Linked DNA regions of Macaca mulatta. The protein of the gene in region 3 purifies or fractionates together with the protein of the main gene of each other region. This does not show direct contact. Links are inferred from orthologs where the notes say so. Each region holds a gene or a part of one and is shown on either strand. Other genes may lie near its edges.

Region 1 (4,144 bases), on a different chromosome or scaffold from region 3:
ACAAATTTACAGAGAGAAAGTAGAAAGGTGGCTGCCAGGAACTTGGGAAAAGAGGGAAATGGGGAGTTACTGTTTAATGGATACAGAGTTTCAGTTTTGCAAGATGGAAAATGTTCTGTGGATGGATGGTCGGTACTGAGGGTCGCACAACCGTGTGAAATACAATTAATGCCAGTGAACTGTACACTTAAAAATGGTTAAAATGGCAACTGTAATGTAATGTATATTTTATAGTTAAAAAACTTAAACGATAGTGTGGTACTGATACACAGATCATTGGAACAAAAATCCAGAAATAGACCCACACAAATTTGGTCACAAGGCTAAGGTAATTCAATGTGTAAGAGTCTTTTCAACAAATGGTAATGGAACGACTGTATATCCCGATAGGAAAATGTGACACTTGACAACATAAGCAAAAATTAATGCTATTAGATCATAGACTTACACGTAAAAGACTATGTAAAACATATATGAGAACACAGAATATCTTCACGAACTTGAGGTAGGCAGAGATTTCCTAGCACAGAAAAAGCACAAACCATAAAAGATTGACTTCACCAGAATTAAAAACAACTTTGCCAAAAACATACTCAAAACAATGAAACGACAGGCCCAGACTGGGAGAAAGACTTCGCAATCATTTATGTAACAAAAGATTTTTATTCAGAACATACATATATCTATCTAACAAAACATTTGTATCCAGAGCTGCTAAACACGAAGAACCAGATTTAAAAACGCGCAAAGACTGGAACTGAAACTTCAGAAAAGATGCAGAATGGCCAGTAAGCACAGAACAGAAACGGTGCCAGTGACGCTGGTGCCAAAGCGGGAAGGAACACATTCCTCAGCCTAAAAGACCTAACAGTAGGACACGGACATAACCATCCCCGGCCAACAGGAACACAGAGTGACACGACCTCTTGGCTAACGAAAACTCAAAGCCTCAATTCACTCAGCTCCTTCACAGCGCTCAGAAACAGGGAAGTCTGGCGGTATCCGAAAATGCCGCAGACGCTCACAGCCGGACGAGACGGAGGGCGCAGGCGCATCCACGGCTTTCACATTGGGCAACTGACTTCAAAGCGGGGGGGCAAACAGGGAGCGCGCAGGTATAGGAGCGCCGGCTGGAGGCTCCTCGAGAGCTCCCCAGACACGCCCCCGAGCGTGCGCCCCCGCTGCCACCACCTCCGGTTGACCACCCCCATCTAGACTGTACTCTCGCGGTATTTGTCCCGACTCTCGCGGGATTTAGCGTGGCTTTGGGAGGCCGGGCCCGGAGGAGGAGGTGGCGTTCCGTTAGCGGCGTTGGGGTCTGGCTGCAGTGGCAGTGCTTTCTCCTCTGCTCACTGGGACCCGCTCAGGCTGGAGGCCAGCCAGGTGAAGAGCTCGCCCGCATGCGTACGCGCTGCGTGGGAGCCGCGAGGCCTGGGGCGGGAGGGGGCCTCGTCTTGGCCTCCTGCGCTGTTGCGACGGGCCGGCGTGAGGCACCGTGGCGCGGACTTCGTCTCAGCCCCGCCCTCGCCCGTGCCCTCGCCCCCGCCCTCGCCCCTGCCCTGACCGCTTTCCTCCCCCTCTCTCCCAGCTCTTGCCGCCACCTCGGTCGCGATGGGGGCGCAGGACCGGCCGCAGTGCCACTTCGACATCGAGATCAACCGGGAGCCGGGTGAGCTGGAGACTGGGGAGCGCTGCTGGGGCCGAGGCCTGCCTAGGCGAAGGGGAGGGGTCTACCCTCAGTAACCCTCCCCCCGTCCTTTTTGGGAGCGGGTAGGAGGCGCAGTCAACTTTCCATTTTCTCTTGAGAGAAAATCAGTGGGAGAGGAAGGTGGCCTGGGCACACCCCAAACTCGCAGTCCAGGCCTCTTCCTCCCAAACCCCACACCGCCCCCTGCATCTCCGGACTGAGTCCTAGTAGCCAGCCTGGCGCCAAGAAAAGGAGGTGCAGTTCTTTGAGGACTTTTTCTCTCCCAGTGTCTCCGTGGGGCAGACACTTCCGATCCGATTTCCGGTTATCTTGCTTGGTGCCATGAAGTTTCAACTAGTAGGAAATGTGTGTTTCCTAATCACGATATATCACTACTTTAATGTTAACGCTGCCTCTATTTTTCCTTAAGAATCTTTAGCTAGAATTTCGTGGTTCCTGGGAAAATGGCTTAATGAACGTCCTTTGTGATAAACCAGAGCATTCTGTATCAGCAGAATTGCAGCATGCATGCACTTAGCGTTACTGTTTTGTCTTTTGGGAGTCCAGCCATTTGTTAAAGTGTATTTTTTTGAAAATGAAACATTTCCTTCTAGAGCATAGTTACTTTATTCTAAGTAGCAGAGCGTGCAGGGTTTCAAACTGTTTTCTTAGGTTTTTTTGTTATCTGTGACAGAAGTTTTAATTGGAGGCATATATATACACTGTGCAACATCTTGTTCTGCATATTCTTATGAGAACCTGCTACTGTTCTAGGGTCTGGAGATAGAGCAGCGCATAAAACAAAGGCCACTCTTCCTTTTATAGTTTATATTCTATTGGGGGGAAGACAGACAACTAGGAAGAAAACAGTGACTTGCAGTTGGGATACTATTTTAATAAGTTGGTCAGACAAGGCCATTTTGAGAAGATGACATTTAAGCAGGTATCAGAAAGAGATGAAGTGAGCCATATTTAAGAAGAGCATTCGTGGTAGAGGGAAACAGCACAGCCCTGAGGTGAGAAGTAGTATACAGTCAGGCGCCAAATGACATTTCTGTCTCTTAACAGTGGTCTTATATAGAATACTTTTTTTTGTGTAACTTTTTAATGTTTACCTATGTTTACATACACAAATACTTCATTGTGTTAAAGTTGCCTACGGTATTCAGTGGAGTAACATCCTGTACAGGTTTGTAGCCTAGGAGCAAATAGACCATATAGCTTAGGTGTGTAGTAGGCCGTACCATCTAGGTGCGTTTAAGTACATTCCATGATGTTCACACAATGATGAAATTGCCTAATTACACATTTCTCAGAATCCGTCCTGGTTATTAAACAATAGAGGACTGTACTTGCATGTTTGACGGACAGCAAGGTGCCCAGTGTGGCTGGAGTAGAAGAGGGAAGAGAATAGTAGAAAGGGCCTGTAGGACTGACTCAGTGAGGTAGGAAGATATTAAAGAGTTTTGAGCAAAGGAATGAGATAATCCTAAAAATTTGGTTGCCTTCTCTCTCTCTTTTTAATGTTTTTAGCCTTGATTGATCTTTGTTTTTAAGTTAGAGTTACTAGAAAGCCTTGATGGACTTTAATCTTTATTCTGTAGTGAATCCATGCGTCAGATAACAGGGTTATTTTTTGTTAAGAATTAAAAATAGGCCAGGCTCGGTGACTCACGCCTATAATCCCAACACTTTGGGAGGCAGACACGGGTGGATCATTTTGAGCTCAGGAGTTCGAGATCAGCCTGGCCAACATGGTGAACCCCATCTCTACAAAAAATACAAAAATTAGCTGGGCGTGGTGGCTCTCTTAGTTTTTGCCTGTAGTCCCAGCTACTTGGGAGGCTGAGACTGGAGGATTGCTTGAGCTTGGTAAGCGAAGGTTGCAGTGAGTAGAGATTATACCACTGCATGTCAGCCTGGGTAATGGAGCGAGACCCTGTCTCAAAAAAAAAAAAAAGAAAAGAAAAATAGTAGATTGCTGAAAGATAAAAGTACGGTGGCGCTCATACCAGTAATCCCAGTACTTGGGGAGGCTCAGGCAGGAGGATTGCTTGAAGCCAGGAGTTTGAGACCAGCCTGGACAATATAGCAAGACCCTGTCTCTACAAATATAATTTTTTTTAGTTAGCCAGGCATGGTGGTGCTCACCTGTACTTGGAAGTGTGAGGTGGAAGGATGGTTTGAGCTCAGGAATTTAAGGCTGCCATGAGCTATGATTGCACCACTGCACTCCAGCTTGGTCAACAGAGCAAGATCCTGTTTCTAAAAAAAAATTCAAAAAAAGAAATTTAAAAAGCTTAAGAAAGTACAAGTAAAAATTTCTGTAGTTATGTTAAGTACTCCTTTCCTAGTAAATGTTGAGGTCCTAGATTTGCACATAACCTGTGTTGTGAAAAATCTCCAGAAAATGTTTGACAAATGTTCAATGAACCTCAGTCCTCAACATCCAAGGTA
Region 2 (4,075 bases), on a different chromosome or scaffold from region 3:
TTTGTGTATACATATGTTTATAGAACAAAACTGGTTCCCACACTGGCAGTGCAGGTAGGGCAGAACCAGAAGCAGGACAACACACACAGACACCACTAACAATAGGGCCGCTCCCTTAGGCCTGGTCTTAACCAGCTCTAGGCCAGGTGAAGAGGCTAACTCAACCATGACTGCCTGTCTCGCTATTGCTTTCTTTTCTCTAGTACAGATGCTCAGGGTCTAATCAGAGACTGATTCTCAACTGGCGCGACCAAGGGACAGTTATATTATCTCCAGTCTCAATTTCCTTATCAGTAATAACAGGCATTTTTATCCACACTTTTAGTTTGTGAGGAATAAGGCACGTAGAGGGTTTCACAGAGGGTCGGGAACAAGATCAACCCCTAACCAATGTTAGTCATTATGATTAATGACTTTTCCTAGTTTTTATTTTTGTCTTCCTTCTGCTCACTTTAGCCTAATCAGGGTGGGCGTGGTGACTCAAGCCTGTATTCCCAGCACTCTGGGAGGTAGAGGCGGGCGGATCACCTGAGGTCAGGAGTTCGAGACCAGACTGCCCAACATGGTGGAATCCGGTCTCTAATAATACAAAAATTAGCCAGGCGTGTTGGCAAGCGCCTGTAGTCCCAGGTACTCGGGAGACTGAGGCAGGAGAATCGCTTGAACCTGGGAGGCGAAGGTTGCAGTGAGCCGAGATGGTGTCACTGCACTCCAGCCTGGGCGACAGAGCGAGACTCCGTATGAAAAAAAAAAAAAAATTAACCTAATAGAGGAAAGCACGCGCCCACCCCCTCTCTGAGCATGCGCACCAACAGAATAGCCGCGCCCTTTTCTAATTAAACCATTAACCAAGGTGAGGGTAAGGAAGAAAAGGAGGCTTGGCTAAGTCCCACCCTGATGTGATCAGGTTAAAACTGTGTAAGGCACATTACATCATAGGTTAAAAGGCCTGGAAAACTCCGCGCTCTCCTTGCCAGAACTGCAGGCTTGCGGGCCAAGTCTCTGAGAACTCAGGGATTGTGAAACCCGCCCCGGCTCTGCGCTAGCAGCGGGATCCAGGCACCCGCAGCTAATTGGGGAGGGAGGTGACTGCCTGGCTGACTTTTCATTGGCCCAGAGTCACAAAGGCTGCAGGTTCTTCCCCCTTCCGGTCGCTGAGTGGTTGAGGCCGGAAAACAACGCTCATCGTCATTGGCTGAGCCCGGCTGTCAGTCCTTTCGCGTCTCGGCGGCGCGGCACAGCCCGGCGCGGCCTGTAAAGCAGTCTCAGGCCTGCTGCAGGGAGAAGATGGCGGTCGCAGTGAGAACTTTGCAGGAACAGCTAGAAAAGGCCAAAGAGAGCCTTAAGAACGTGGATGAGAATATTCGCAAGCTCACCGGGCGGGATCCGAATGACGTGAGGTAAGGGCTTAACGGGAACTCGGAGCTCGGAGAGGCAGCCCTCTGGTCGGGGTGAATTGGGGGCGGGGAGGGCGGCCAGCCTTCAGAAGGCTGGAACCTCGAGGCCTGTTCGCGGGGCGGCGGGTAAAACCATGTTCTCGCCGAGGTGGAAAAGCCCCAGGCCCCCATCGTAGAGCGCTGGTCTCAGGTTCCTGAGAAAGGAGAGCGAGTCCTGGATACGCCGGCATGGTTTCTCAGGCCTGTGAGAAGACCCAGACTACTGATTCCCGCCCTCGGCCCTGCAGGCCCGGAACTGCAGCACAAAGCCCCTTCCCGCTCTGGCGGGCACCCGGCCCAGGGCTGGCCCCGAGACCCTGCCGGGACGCCACTAGCCACTTCACCCCAACCTCTTGCCCACGTGCAGCTTCCTCGGGGATGGCGGGATGGGGACCTGATTCAGGCTTTTCAATGTGTGGGGGCATCGAGGTGATTATAATTTCTGTGATACAGGTCCTGGAGAAACGAGGAAGTTAAATGAAATAGTACGTCCTGTCCTGTTTCAGACACTTGGGTTTATTTGAAACTATCTTTTTGGAACTTTTGCGATTTTCTCCTTGGATCCATATCTCTGAAAGTAATTGGTGCAACTATGTGTGTCTGCATATGATCTTGCACTGATTTGTAAATCTCTTACAGGCCCATCCAAGCCAGATTGCTGGCCCTTTCTGGTCCTGGTGGAGGTAGAGGACGTGGTAGTTTATTACTGAGGTAAGATTTCCTTTGGACTTTACTCATGCTGAAACTACTGGTACTTTACTTACAAATATATTGGCTTGCACAAAACCTGTGATAAAATCGATAACCCAGTGTTTGTTGTCTTTGTTTAATGCTTGTGATAGACTAGGTTTCCGTATAAATACAGTTATCCTGAAAAACTGGAGGTCGAAGAATATATTAAGTGTACCAATTTTGAGTGAACTTAATTCTTATAGTTTAAAGTAACACTAAAAGCATTTTGGGAATGAATGCCCATTTAAGGCTACTTTAGTTGGAAAGGTTTTTAAAATTTCAACCATATTCTCTTGTCAAATGGAAATACCGTTTATCTTGTATTTCAAGTGCTTTATGTTGAACATTTTAAATTTCAGGCGTGGATTCTCAGATAGTGGAGGAGGACCCCCAGCCAAACAGAGAGACCTTGAAGGGGCAGTCAGTAGGTAGGTCTGTAAAAAGATTCCTGAAGTCTTCTTTAGTTTCTGATGTACAACACAAATACAAATATTTATTAATAATAATGCTGTTTGAGTAATATTACAATTGAGTAGTGTGCCACTTCCCCCCCCTCACAAGTTCTCTTGGTATTTGATTGAACTGAGTCAGTTCTCTCAAAACACAGTTCTGCACTCATGATAACCCACAGTTTATCAAAATAAAGGTCAGGTGAAGAGTAAATTTGGAAAAATTGTCAATTAGTACCATTTTTTTCTGACTTGTAATTGAAATACTTAACCAGTTTGAAATACTTAGAAAATACAGGAGAGCAGAGTTAGTTTGGGTGTTAGTTCACATGTTGTATTCTTTCTCTGCTGGAGGAAAGAATAAAATGGAATGGAGACTTGATAGAACAAAGCTTCTGGAAATGAGTCCTAGAAAGAGAGGGCATTTGCCTTTGGTGTGCAGTTACATAAATACCTCTGGTCATTTAAATTAATTTCTGGCCAGGTACAGTGGCTTATCCCTGTAATCCCAGCACTTTGGGAAGCCAAGGCCAGCAGATCACTTGAGCCCAGGAGTTCCAGACCAGCCTAGGTACATGGTGAAATCACATCCCTACAAAAAGTACAAAAAAGTTACCCAGGCATGCTGGCTCACGCCTGTAGTCCCAGCTTGGGAGGATGAGGCAAGAGGATCACTTGAACCTGGGAGGTCGAGGCTGCAGTGAACTGTGGTGGCACCACTGCACTTCAGCCTGGATGGTATAGTGAAACACTGTCTCAAAAAAAGTAATTTTGTCTATGACAGGCTGGGTGGGGAGCGTCGGACCAGAAGAGAATCACGCCAGGAAAGCGACCCAGAGGATGATGATGTTAAAAAGGTATTGAGATTGAAGGAACTTAAACGAATGTAGTACCTTCACTTTACTACATTTGAAAGCACACCACTCATATGCTAGTTAATTACTGAGATTTTCTTTTTCTGCAGCCAGCATTGCAGTCTTCAGTTGTAGCTACCTCCAAAGAGCGCACGCGTAGAGACCTTATCCAGGATCAAAATATGGATGAAAAGGGAAAGCAAAGGTATTTCCCTGGGGGAAAAAAACTCTTGTGAAATAATGCAGTTATAAGGAAAATTAAGGGATTGTTCAAGTGTCCTGTAGTGTTTCTTAGAAAATGATGGGTTTAAATGAAATGGATCCTGTTGACAGTAAATTTTCTTATTCTGTTCTTTAGGAACCGGCGAATATTTGGCTTGTTGATGGGTACCCTTCAAAAATTTAAACAAGAATCCACTGTTGCTACTGAAAGGGTATTTATCCAAGTTTTGTTTTGCATCATGTATTTAAGTTATCAAAGTAGTAGATTAATTTTTTTTTAAGCCTTAAAGCTGTTTTAAGACTTAATTGTAAACCTAAAATAAAGCCAAATGAAAACTTGGTTTAACTTTTTATAGAACAGCCTTACTTAAACATTGTGTTG
Region 3 (4,121 bases):
ACAGCCACTGTTACGGACTAAACTGTACTCTCCAAAATTAGCAAGTTAAAGTACCAAACCCAAGTACCTCAGAATGTATTAATAACTGTTTTTGGAGATAAGGTCTTTAAAGAGCTGATTAAGTTAAAAAATGAGGGCAGGGCCCTAATCCAATATGGCTGAGAAAAGACACCAGGACAGAAAAAAGATCATTTAAGGATACAGCAAAGAGGTAGCCATCTGCAAGCCAAGGAAAGAGGATTTTTTTCAGGAGAATCCAAACCTGCTAACACCCTAATTTTTGACTTTTAGCCCCAGAACTACAGGAAAATGAATTTCTGTTGTTTAAGCCACCTACTCTATGGTATTTCATTATGGTGGCCCTAGGAAACTAATACAGCCACTCTGGAAAACAGTCTGGCAATTTCTTAAAAGAATTAAACCTGCAACTACCGTACAATCCAGCAATTGCACTCCAGAGAAATGAACTCTTATGTTCACATAAAAACCCGTACACAAATGTGTATATAGCAGCTTTATGTGTAATAGCCAAAAAATGGAAACAACCCAGATGTTCTTTAATGAGTAAGTGGCTAAATCCATGCCATATGGATACCACTCAGCAATGAAATAGAACAAACTACTGAGAGCTGCAACCTGAATCAATCTCCAAAGGATTCTGCTGAGTGAGAAAAGACAATCCTAAAGGTTACATACTGTATGATTCCACTTACATAACATTCTTGAAATGACAGAATTATAGAAATGAAGAACAGATTAGAAGTTGACAGAAGTTAAGGAAGGATAAAAGTGGGAGATAAGTGTGTGTGGCTACAAAAGGACAACATGAGGTATTCCTTGTGGTGAAGGAAATGTTATCTTGACTATATCGATGTCAATATTCTGATGATGATATTGTACCACAGTTCTATTATGAATAGATGCTACCACTGGGAGAAACCAGGAAGAGTATATCTCCCTGAATTATTTCTGACAACCATATGTGAACCAATAATAATCTCAAAATAAAAAGTTTAATTTAAGCAAACAAGCAGAAAAAAGAAATACACCCAGTTTTCAGAAAAGCCCATTGGAGGTACAGGTAGAGATGTAGGCGAGTGTGCGTGCACACACGCGCACACACACAATACACACACACACAGCCCTCTTTAGCTGTGATAGGAAAAGGCTCTCAATTTGGACCCAACATCAAAACACCCCAATCCACTTACCTGCTTCACTTTGACTGTTGAGTAGTGAGGACTTCGGTTTCTCTTACTCCGAGGAGACTTGCTTCTTCTCCCTGAGGACTTGTTTTTCTTTTTGGGTGGGGACCTATACAGAGCATGGTACACAGGATTTTATCGCAATTTCCCTTCCCCCATAAAAATTAGCTTCCAGTATCAGGCTTACCTACTAACACAAACACTGCTTTTGTGAAGGTATCTGCCAATCACATTAAAGGAGTCACGAGGTTCATTTTCCTAGCTCTAACGTCTCCCTTGCATTCCATACTCACATAGACAACTGTCTACTGAACCTTCTCACTTAGGTAACAAAACTCTTAATTTCCAACCCTTCAAAAACCTTTCCTCTCCTACTCCTTGCCATCTTGCTAACTGGCATCACCATCCGGAAGTCACCCTTGATTCTTTATCCCTCACTACCAACACCCCTAGCATCAGGAACAATCCCTCCATCCTGTGGTTCTACTTCCTCCCTATGCCATCTCATTCCTACCACCCACCTTCTTGACCACTATACTCCACCGACACTGGCTTTTTCCCATTTCAATCATAATTCATTCTACTTCAAGTTCTTTGCAGATGTTGTTTCCTCTGCCTGGATCTTTAAGAGGTTGAATCATTCCTATCACTCAGGTCTGGACTCAAATGGCACCTCTTTAAAGAGGCCTCCTCCCTCTTCTCTCCAATCTCTATCACATTACTGTTATAACCTATCAATAATACTTGTTATTGAAACTTTTTTTTTTTTTTAATCATCTGTCTCAGGGTTAGAGCACGGCCAATTTGGCACTGGTGAAGATCATCTAACTGAATCGCCCTTGCAGCCCCAATACCTAGGGCAGTCTTTCACACTTAAAATAGGCACTCAGTAAAACTATGGTGAATGAATGCATAAATAAATGAGTCTAGCAAGAAGTAACTTTTTTTATTTTTATTTTTCCAGTTTCTGTTAGGTAGCTCGCCTAGACCTCGATGTGAAAACCTTTCTGGCAGGTAACTGGAAAGACAAGGCCCACACTCCATTTGTGGGCGGGATGGGGAAAATCTCATTCCAATTTAACAGATTATCAGTGCTATCTGTTGGGCTACACTCTTCGAAGTGCTGGGGACACAAGAATGAAGGAGTGGGATCCTGCCGGTGTGTCATTAGGCGTTGAACACCGAGCTATAAGGCAAGTGACAGAGCAAGCATAACACAAGCACGACTGGATCACTCTCAACAGTCCCTCAGGATTAAGTCCGGGCTGCTGCGCCCAGCATTCAAAACCTGTTTCGGATGCTAGCCCTGCCCGCCTTTCTGAATGAGCCCAACCCAACGTCCATCCTGGGCTGCTCCCCCACTTACCGGCTAACTCCTCGGGCTCGGTTCCCGCGGTGGCCCGGGCGGCCCGGCTCGCTGGTCGGCGGAGACGGGCTACCGCCGGAGTGGTCCGGACGGCGGTGGGCGGGAGGTGCGACTTCTGGGCTGAGACGCTCCTGCTTCACCACCACCCCCGCCGGCAGCACCATGTCCCCGTCCCGGTGTCTTCGCCGGCTCCCTCGCTCCCGTTCGCTCTTCACCGCCTTCATTCTGTGATTTTGGCTGAGCGAAAGAAAACAGATCCGTTGAGCTCCTCTAGCTGAAGGAAATGACGAGTTTGACTCCTGGACTTCCGCTTCCGGGGTGCCCAACCTCCCAGAAATCCTCGCGGCAGATATTAAACACGTGACTACTCCCTAGTGGGCGTAGCCACAGTGACCGGCTTGGGTGGCGGGAGTTTCAAGTTTCAAAAACAAACTTCTGGCTGGGCGTGGTGACTCTCGCCTGTAGTCCCAGAACTTTGGGAGGCCGAGGCTGGCGGATCACCTGAAGTCAAGAGTTCGAGAACAGCCTGGCCAACATGGCAAAACCTCGTCTCTACTAAAAATACAAAAATTAGCCAGGTGTGGTGGCGCGCGCCTGTAATCCCAGCTACTCGGGAGAATGAGGCAAGATAATCGCTTGAACCCGGGAGGCGCAGGTTGCAGTGAGCGCAGATCGCACCACTGCACTCCAGCCTGGGCGACAGAGCGAGATGTCTCAAAAACAAACAAACAACAATAACAACAAAAAACTGGGAAAAAGCAAACCTCTCAAGACTGTTTGTTGCCACATTACTGGTAATTACAAAACGTGGAAACAATGTAAATACCCAGCAGTAGGGAAGTTAGCCAAATTAATGGGTGTTATGTGGCCATTAGTAAACCATTTACAAACTTTAAAAACCCTGACTTGTTAACGACAAAGCAGGATACAAAATTGTGCGCAAACCATAATTACATTTACATTTGGAAATAGAAGGGAGGAAGACATGGAAATGCAATCAGAGATGATAACCCGTGGGCAAATCATTAGCTTTTCCTCTTCTATTTCCTGAACTTTTTGCAATGCTGTTGGGGCTCAGAAATCGAAACCCCAAAATATGGCGCACTGACATGCCGAACTGAAGAAGCCTCAATGTTCCTTCCCGGTGCCCACCATCTCTCCCAAAGCGCAGGTCTTTATCTGCCTAAGATACAGACTACCAAAAGGAATAATTGTTTCTTTCTTCTCCTCCCAAGAATGTAATCACACCTGACCAGAGACCGTTATGCTGTCAAAAGTAGCTATTTACAGCCGAACACGGAGGCTGCAGCCTGTAATTCCGGCCCTTTGGGAGGCCAAGGCAGGAAAATCGCTTGAAGCCAGGAGTTCCAGACCAACCTGCCCAACATAGCAAGACTCTGTCTCTACAAAAATTAAATTTTGCAGGGGCTGGTGGCTCGTGCCTGTGGTCCCAGCAGAGATAGGAGGATCACTTGAGCCCAGGAGTTGGAGGCTGCAGTGAGCCGTGATGGCACCACTGCACTCCAGCCAGGGCTACAGAGTGAGACCCT
Region 4 (4,318 bases), on a different chromosome or scaffold from region 3:
AAAAACTGAAAGAAACTTTAAGAGACTGTGCAGCCTTATAATTTTTGGATTTTAACTGTGGAATAATTTAAAAGACATCTTATGCAGAAACTCAATTGTCAAAGCGGATAAAAGTAGATCTAATCTAGTTTAAGAGAGAAGTATGAGCCTTGCTTACTTGAGAAAAAGGTATTTATTTCCCCTAAGAAGCTCCCCAAAGCAGCTCCACAAAACCCCGAGAGCAGTTATAAACCCATGGGTTTAGTTTGACTTTTTCTCATATTACAGATAAGGAAATGGAGGAAACCAAGGCCTCCAAAGGTTAAGTTTCTTATCCTAAGTAAAGGAGCTATTAGTAATGCTTATGAATAAGTGCATTGAGTTAGTAGTTAACACTAGTAATGGTGGGTGACTTACACAGGATTGAATCCTTGGTAAATCTACATCAACAAGAGTTCTTAATTAGCAACTATTTTCCTACACTGTCACATTGGTGGTCTACTTCATATCTATACTCAAAGACATCAACTACCTTTCCTAAATTCATGGCAGATAAATGACTTCAGATCTCTGTACTACACGTAATTAATGGAAGCCACACCTTTCTGCACATACCATTTCAATTATTATAAACTAATAGCGCCTTTGATTCTGTTCTTTACTCCAGGCCCTTGTATACAACTGGGTGATTCGAATTCAACTGTCCTGGTTTGAGAACATTTCTGACCAAGGGAACTTAGGAAAATAGTCGTGAGGAATTAAGCATGAAATATACAACACCACGTCCTGCCATGTGTCTGTATATCCAAAGAGCCCACTCCATTGAATAAACCTTTCTCACCTGGGAATTTGGCTGGAATGCAGCATGGGGTGTTGAGTGTTTCTGTAAATTTTCTAGCATTAGAGCCTGGTATAGAGAAGGGTAAAAGTCAGAAATGATGAGGAAAAAAAAAGAAAAACTCCCACCTCTACCACAACCTCTTAATTAAATGCAATGACTTAAATACACACAATTAAACTGTATTCCTCTTCCAGGGACCTGAAAATCCTTTACTGACACTGTTCTCATTCATCACCAGAAGACCCTTAAAGGTAGCCACGGTTACTGTTACTAAACGTACAGATATAAAATGCAGGCACACAGAATCAGTGACCTGGCTATGTCACAATATCAGTAATAGAACCAGTACTAAAATCCCTGTTGTCTTCTGCACTTGTGCCAAGTGCCCCTTCTAAATCTGATCATGCAGGTAAAACTACTTAAAAATACTCAAACCAGCAGCCATGGGGCTCCTGGTTTTTGCCTGATGGAATTACTTGGTCAAAGGGTTACCCAGGACTAGAGTCAATTTGTATAATTTCCAGTACTGTGGCACCTAGATTTACCAAATTTACAAAATTTTCAAAGAGGAGGCTACAGAAGAAAATGACCAGAGACCCTGTGAACTGTGGTCTAACCTAGTCCGTCCATCCACACACACACACACACACAATCAACTTCTGTATAAGCAACGGTCTGCCAACTCAACCCTGGAGCCAACCCAGACCTAATCTGCACTACCTGCCACGTATCCTATTGAACTCTAATTAAAACCAAGACATCCTCATCTTCCCTTCTTTAAACCAAACCTATACACTCGAATCGATCTACACCTACCTCATGACATTCCCACCTTAATCTACTTAAACTGATTCAAAATCCCCAATATGTATCAACCTGCCTCGCCTCTCTCACCAATATTCACCAAACTCTTAACTACCCAAATTGCCACTAGATGCCCTATAAATTAGACACCTCTCTCATCAAGTCCCTTCACATAAAGGTCTCTCTTCATCTCACCTCATCTAATCGAGCAGACATTTTACCCTACCCCAATCCTATTCCTGCAGATACCGATACCAACCCCATCCACCCCTCCGCGCAACTATACCCCTAACTCCGACCCAGCCCAACTCGCCCCCCTCAGGCCAGCAACGCCGTAGGTTGTAGTGGGATTTAACTCCTTCTGCAGCGCATGCGCCGAAACCACAGATACAAACAAGGAGGGGGTGGGGGAAGGAGGAAGGAGCTTAAGACACTCCTGGAGAGTAGTGCACACCCTCCCATTTGGGCTCGCGCTGCTGCCGTTAAGGCGGGAACCGGCGCGATCGCCATTCCAGCGCGAACCTCACCAACCACCGTGCGCGCGGATCCAGAGGCTCGCGCTGGCGGCCTGAGCGAGCTCGCGCCGAGCCCGGATACTGCGCCTGCGCCGCGGCAGAGGCTCGTCTCTACCGGGTCCGCTCTCCTCCGACACCCCAGCAACGCCGACTCCTCACCCCTTTGAGCCGCTTGACCAGGGCACTCTTCTGCCCGCTCTTGGCTAGGCCTCGCTGCTCCAGTGCGGCCTTCAGGTCGGTCACCCGCAGCGCCTGAAGAGGCTTCCCGTCCAGAGTCACCTCCTCCAGCTCCGCCATCTTGCGTGAGGTACTCGGGTCCGTCCCGACGGCTTCGGGCATCTTCGGTAATTTCCGCCAACGCCCTTCGAACGTACCGAGATGACCCCGCCCACTGCCATACTCTACCCCTCGATTACCACTCAGAACTCCCCGGCTTCCTCCGGATGTCCTCGGATATTTCCGTCTCCACATCGGCACCAATCAATTCTTTCCATCCGCCCTGCAGCTCCCCTATTCTCGCCCTGCTTTCAGGCTCGGTTTTCTTCGTCTTGCCGAAGCTTTGAATCGAATATATTCGGAAGCCCTCGACTCTGGTATAACCATAATCGGAGATGTTCGTTTATCTCCGGACCTAGAGATGAGGCGCTGGGGCTCTTGGGTGTTTGGGGCGGGTCCGAGGCCGGAAGTGCGTGGGCTGCCGGGCTGGCCCAGCTTAGGGTTTTCAGGAAATTTGGAAGCTGCAGCGGTAGTTGGAGTCTAAGGACTCCTGACAATCTTCGGGTGCCGTCCGAGAGAAAAGGGGAGGTAAGCGGGGTGGAAGTACCTCTATGGGCCGGGTCAGACTCGGTGTTTGCGGACTATCCTAATAGGGCAAGCCACCTACTTCTTAACGCGAACCGCTTCTGCCCTCTGTCCTCTGAATCCCAGCCACTCCCATCTTAGGCTTTTTTTTTGGTGGGGCCTGTGGAGGGGGGCGGAATCGGAATAACAAGCTCCGTGGCCTCCAAAGTGGGGAAGAGGCAGGCAGCGCCGTGTCTTCAGACCCAGACTATGAACTGATTTATGACGCTCAACTTGAGTTTGAGTTTGCGTTTGCCTTGGAAGCCGTGTGGCAAGAAAATTCTCCATTTCTCCGAAGAAGAGAGTAAGTTCCCTTGGAGGAACTGCTTCCTGTAGGGCAAGAACTGAAAAATGCAAGCGCCCTGAACTTTTTTGGTACTTGAACTCATATTGTTTAGGGGCTTCTTTCTTTGTCACTAGCAATCCTCCAACTTGATGCAGAAGAAACACAAACAGTAAAATAGGTCACAGACAAATGGTTTAGAGATTTAAGAGATATGTTAGAGATTTAAGAGACTGAAAACTATTGAAGTCAAATAGGCTGATCTTTCCGTTGCATTCACGATGCAAAATTAATGTCAAGGCGCCGGGCGCGGTGGCTCATGCCTATAAGCACTTTGGGAGGCCGAGGCAGGCGGATCACTTGAGGTCAGGAATTGGAGACCAATCTGGCCAATATGGTGAAACCCCGTCTCTAGTAAAAATACAAACAAATTAGCCGGGCGTACGCCTATATTCCCAGCTGCTCGGGAGGCTGAGGCAGGAGAATTGCTTGAACCCGGGAAGCGGAGGTTGAAGTGAGCTGAGATCACGCCATTGCACTCCAGCCTGGGCGACAGAGCAAGACTCCGTCTCAAAAATAAATAAATAAATAAATAAATAGCAAGGCACCAATAGATGCCATACTAAAAAAAAAAAAATTTTTTTTGTCACTCCACTCTGGGTCATTCCACTCTGAACCAGGCTAGAGTGCAGTGGTGTGATCAGGGCTCACTACAGCCTCAACCTCCCGGGCTCAGGTGATCCTCCTACCTCAGCCTCCTAAGTAGCTAGGACTACAGTTAGGCACCTCTACGCCCAACGAGTTTTTAAATTTTTTGTAGAGATGAGGTTTTGCCATGTTGCCCAGGCTGGTCTTGAACAACTGGATTCAAGCTATCCTCTTGCCTCGGCCTCCCAAAGTGCTGAGATTACTTTGGAAGTGAAAGAGCCACTGTGTCTGGCCCATACTAAATATTAAGGGCAATTGTTTAAAAACATGGATTGTCATGAAGTAGTGTAACAGTTGTTAGATCTCTAAGCCAACAAACCAACTGGACTCTCTTTAAAGTCTCAAACA

Evidence for each region.
Region 1: the proteins of SNIP1 (region 3) and NKTR purify together in Homo sapiens (affinity purification with mass spectrometry; 3 studies listed by BioGRID and IntAct, counting the BioPlex papers as one, with this or other methods). This does not show direct contact. The link is inferred for Macaca mulatta from reciprocal best matches to the Homo sapiens genes SNIP1 and NKTR.
Region 2: the proteins of SNIP1 (region 3) and PNN purify together in Homo sapiens (affinity purification with mass spectrometry; 4 studies listed by BioGRID and IntAct, counting the BioPlex papers as one, with this or other methods). This does not show direct contact. The link is inferred for Macaca mulatta from reciprocal best matches to the Homo sapiens genes SNIP1 and PNN.
Region 4: the proteins of SNIP1 (region 3) and ACIN1 purify together in Homo sapiens (affinity purification with mass spectrometry; 3 studies listed by BioGRID and IntAct, counting the BioPlex papers as one, with this or other methods). This does not show direct contact. The link is inferred for Macaca mulatta from reciprocal best matches to the Homo sapiens genes SNIP1 and ACIN1.

What each region holds. Positions count from the first base shown.
Region 1 is NC_133407.1:105,948,293-105,952,436, forward strand, and holds the start of NKTR (NK-tumor recognition protein), read left to right. Parts: upstream 1-1,290; 5' UTR 1,291-1,383; intron 1,384-1,564; exon of another isoform or gene 1,565-1,588; 5' UTR 1,589-1,611; coding exon 1,612-1,669; exon of another isoform or gene 1,670-1,685; intron 1,686-4,144. UniProt on the Homo sapiens protein: PPIase that catalyzes the cis-trans isomerization of proline imidic peptide bonds in oligopeptides and may therefore assist protein folding. Component of a putative tumor-recognition complex involved in the function of NK cells.
Region 2 is NC_133412.1:112,288,162-112,292,236, forward strand, and holds the start of PNN (pinin), read left to right. Parts: upstream 1-1,256; 5' UTR 1,257-1,287; coding exon 1,288-1,400; intron 1,401-2,075; coding exon 2,076-2,147; intron 2,148-2,527; coding exon 2,528-2,596; intron 2,597-3,401; coding exon 3,402-3,474; intron 3,475-3,581; coding exon 3,582-3,676; intron 3,677-3,829; coding exon 3,830-3,905; intron 3,906-4,075. UniProt on the Homo sapiens protein: Transcriptional activator binding to the E-box 1 core sequence of the E-cadherin promoter gene; the core-binding sequence is 5'CAGGTG-3'. Capable of reversing CTBP1-mediated transcription repression.
Region 3 is NC_133406.1:203,243,303-203,247,423, reverse strand, and holds the start of SNIP1 (smad nuclear-interacting protein 1), read right to left. Parts: upstream 2,839-4,121; 5' UTR 2,796-2,838; coding exon 2,572-2,795; intron 1,315-2,571; coding exon 1,212-1,314; intron 1-1,211. UniProt on the Homo sapiens protein: Required for pre-mRNA splicing as component of the spliceosome. As a component of the minor spliceosome, involved in the splicing of U12-type introns in pre-mRNAs. Down-regulates NF-kappa-B signaling by competing with RELA for CREBBP/EP300 binding.
Region 4 is NC_133412.1:96,187,028-96,191,345, forward strand, and holds the start of ACIN1 (apoptotic chromatin condensation inducer in the nucleus), read right to left. Parts: upstream 2,849-4,318; 5' UTR 2,611-2,848; coding exon 2,299-2,610; exon of another isoform or gene 887-2,298; coding exon 821-886; exon of another isoform or gene 1-820.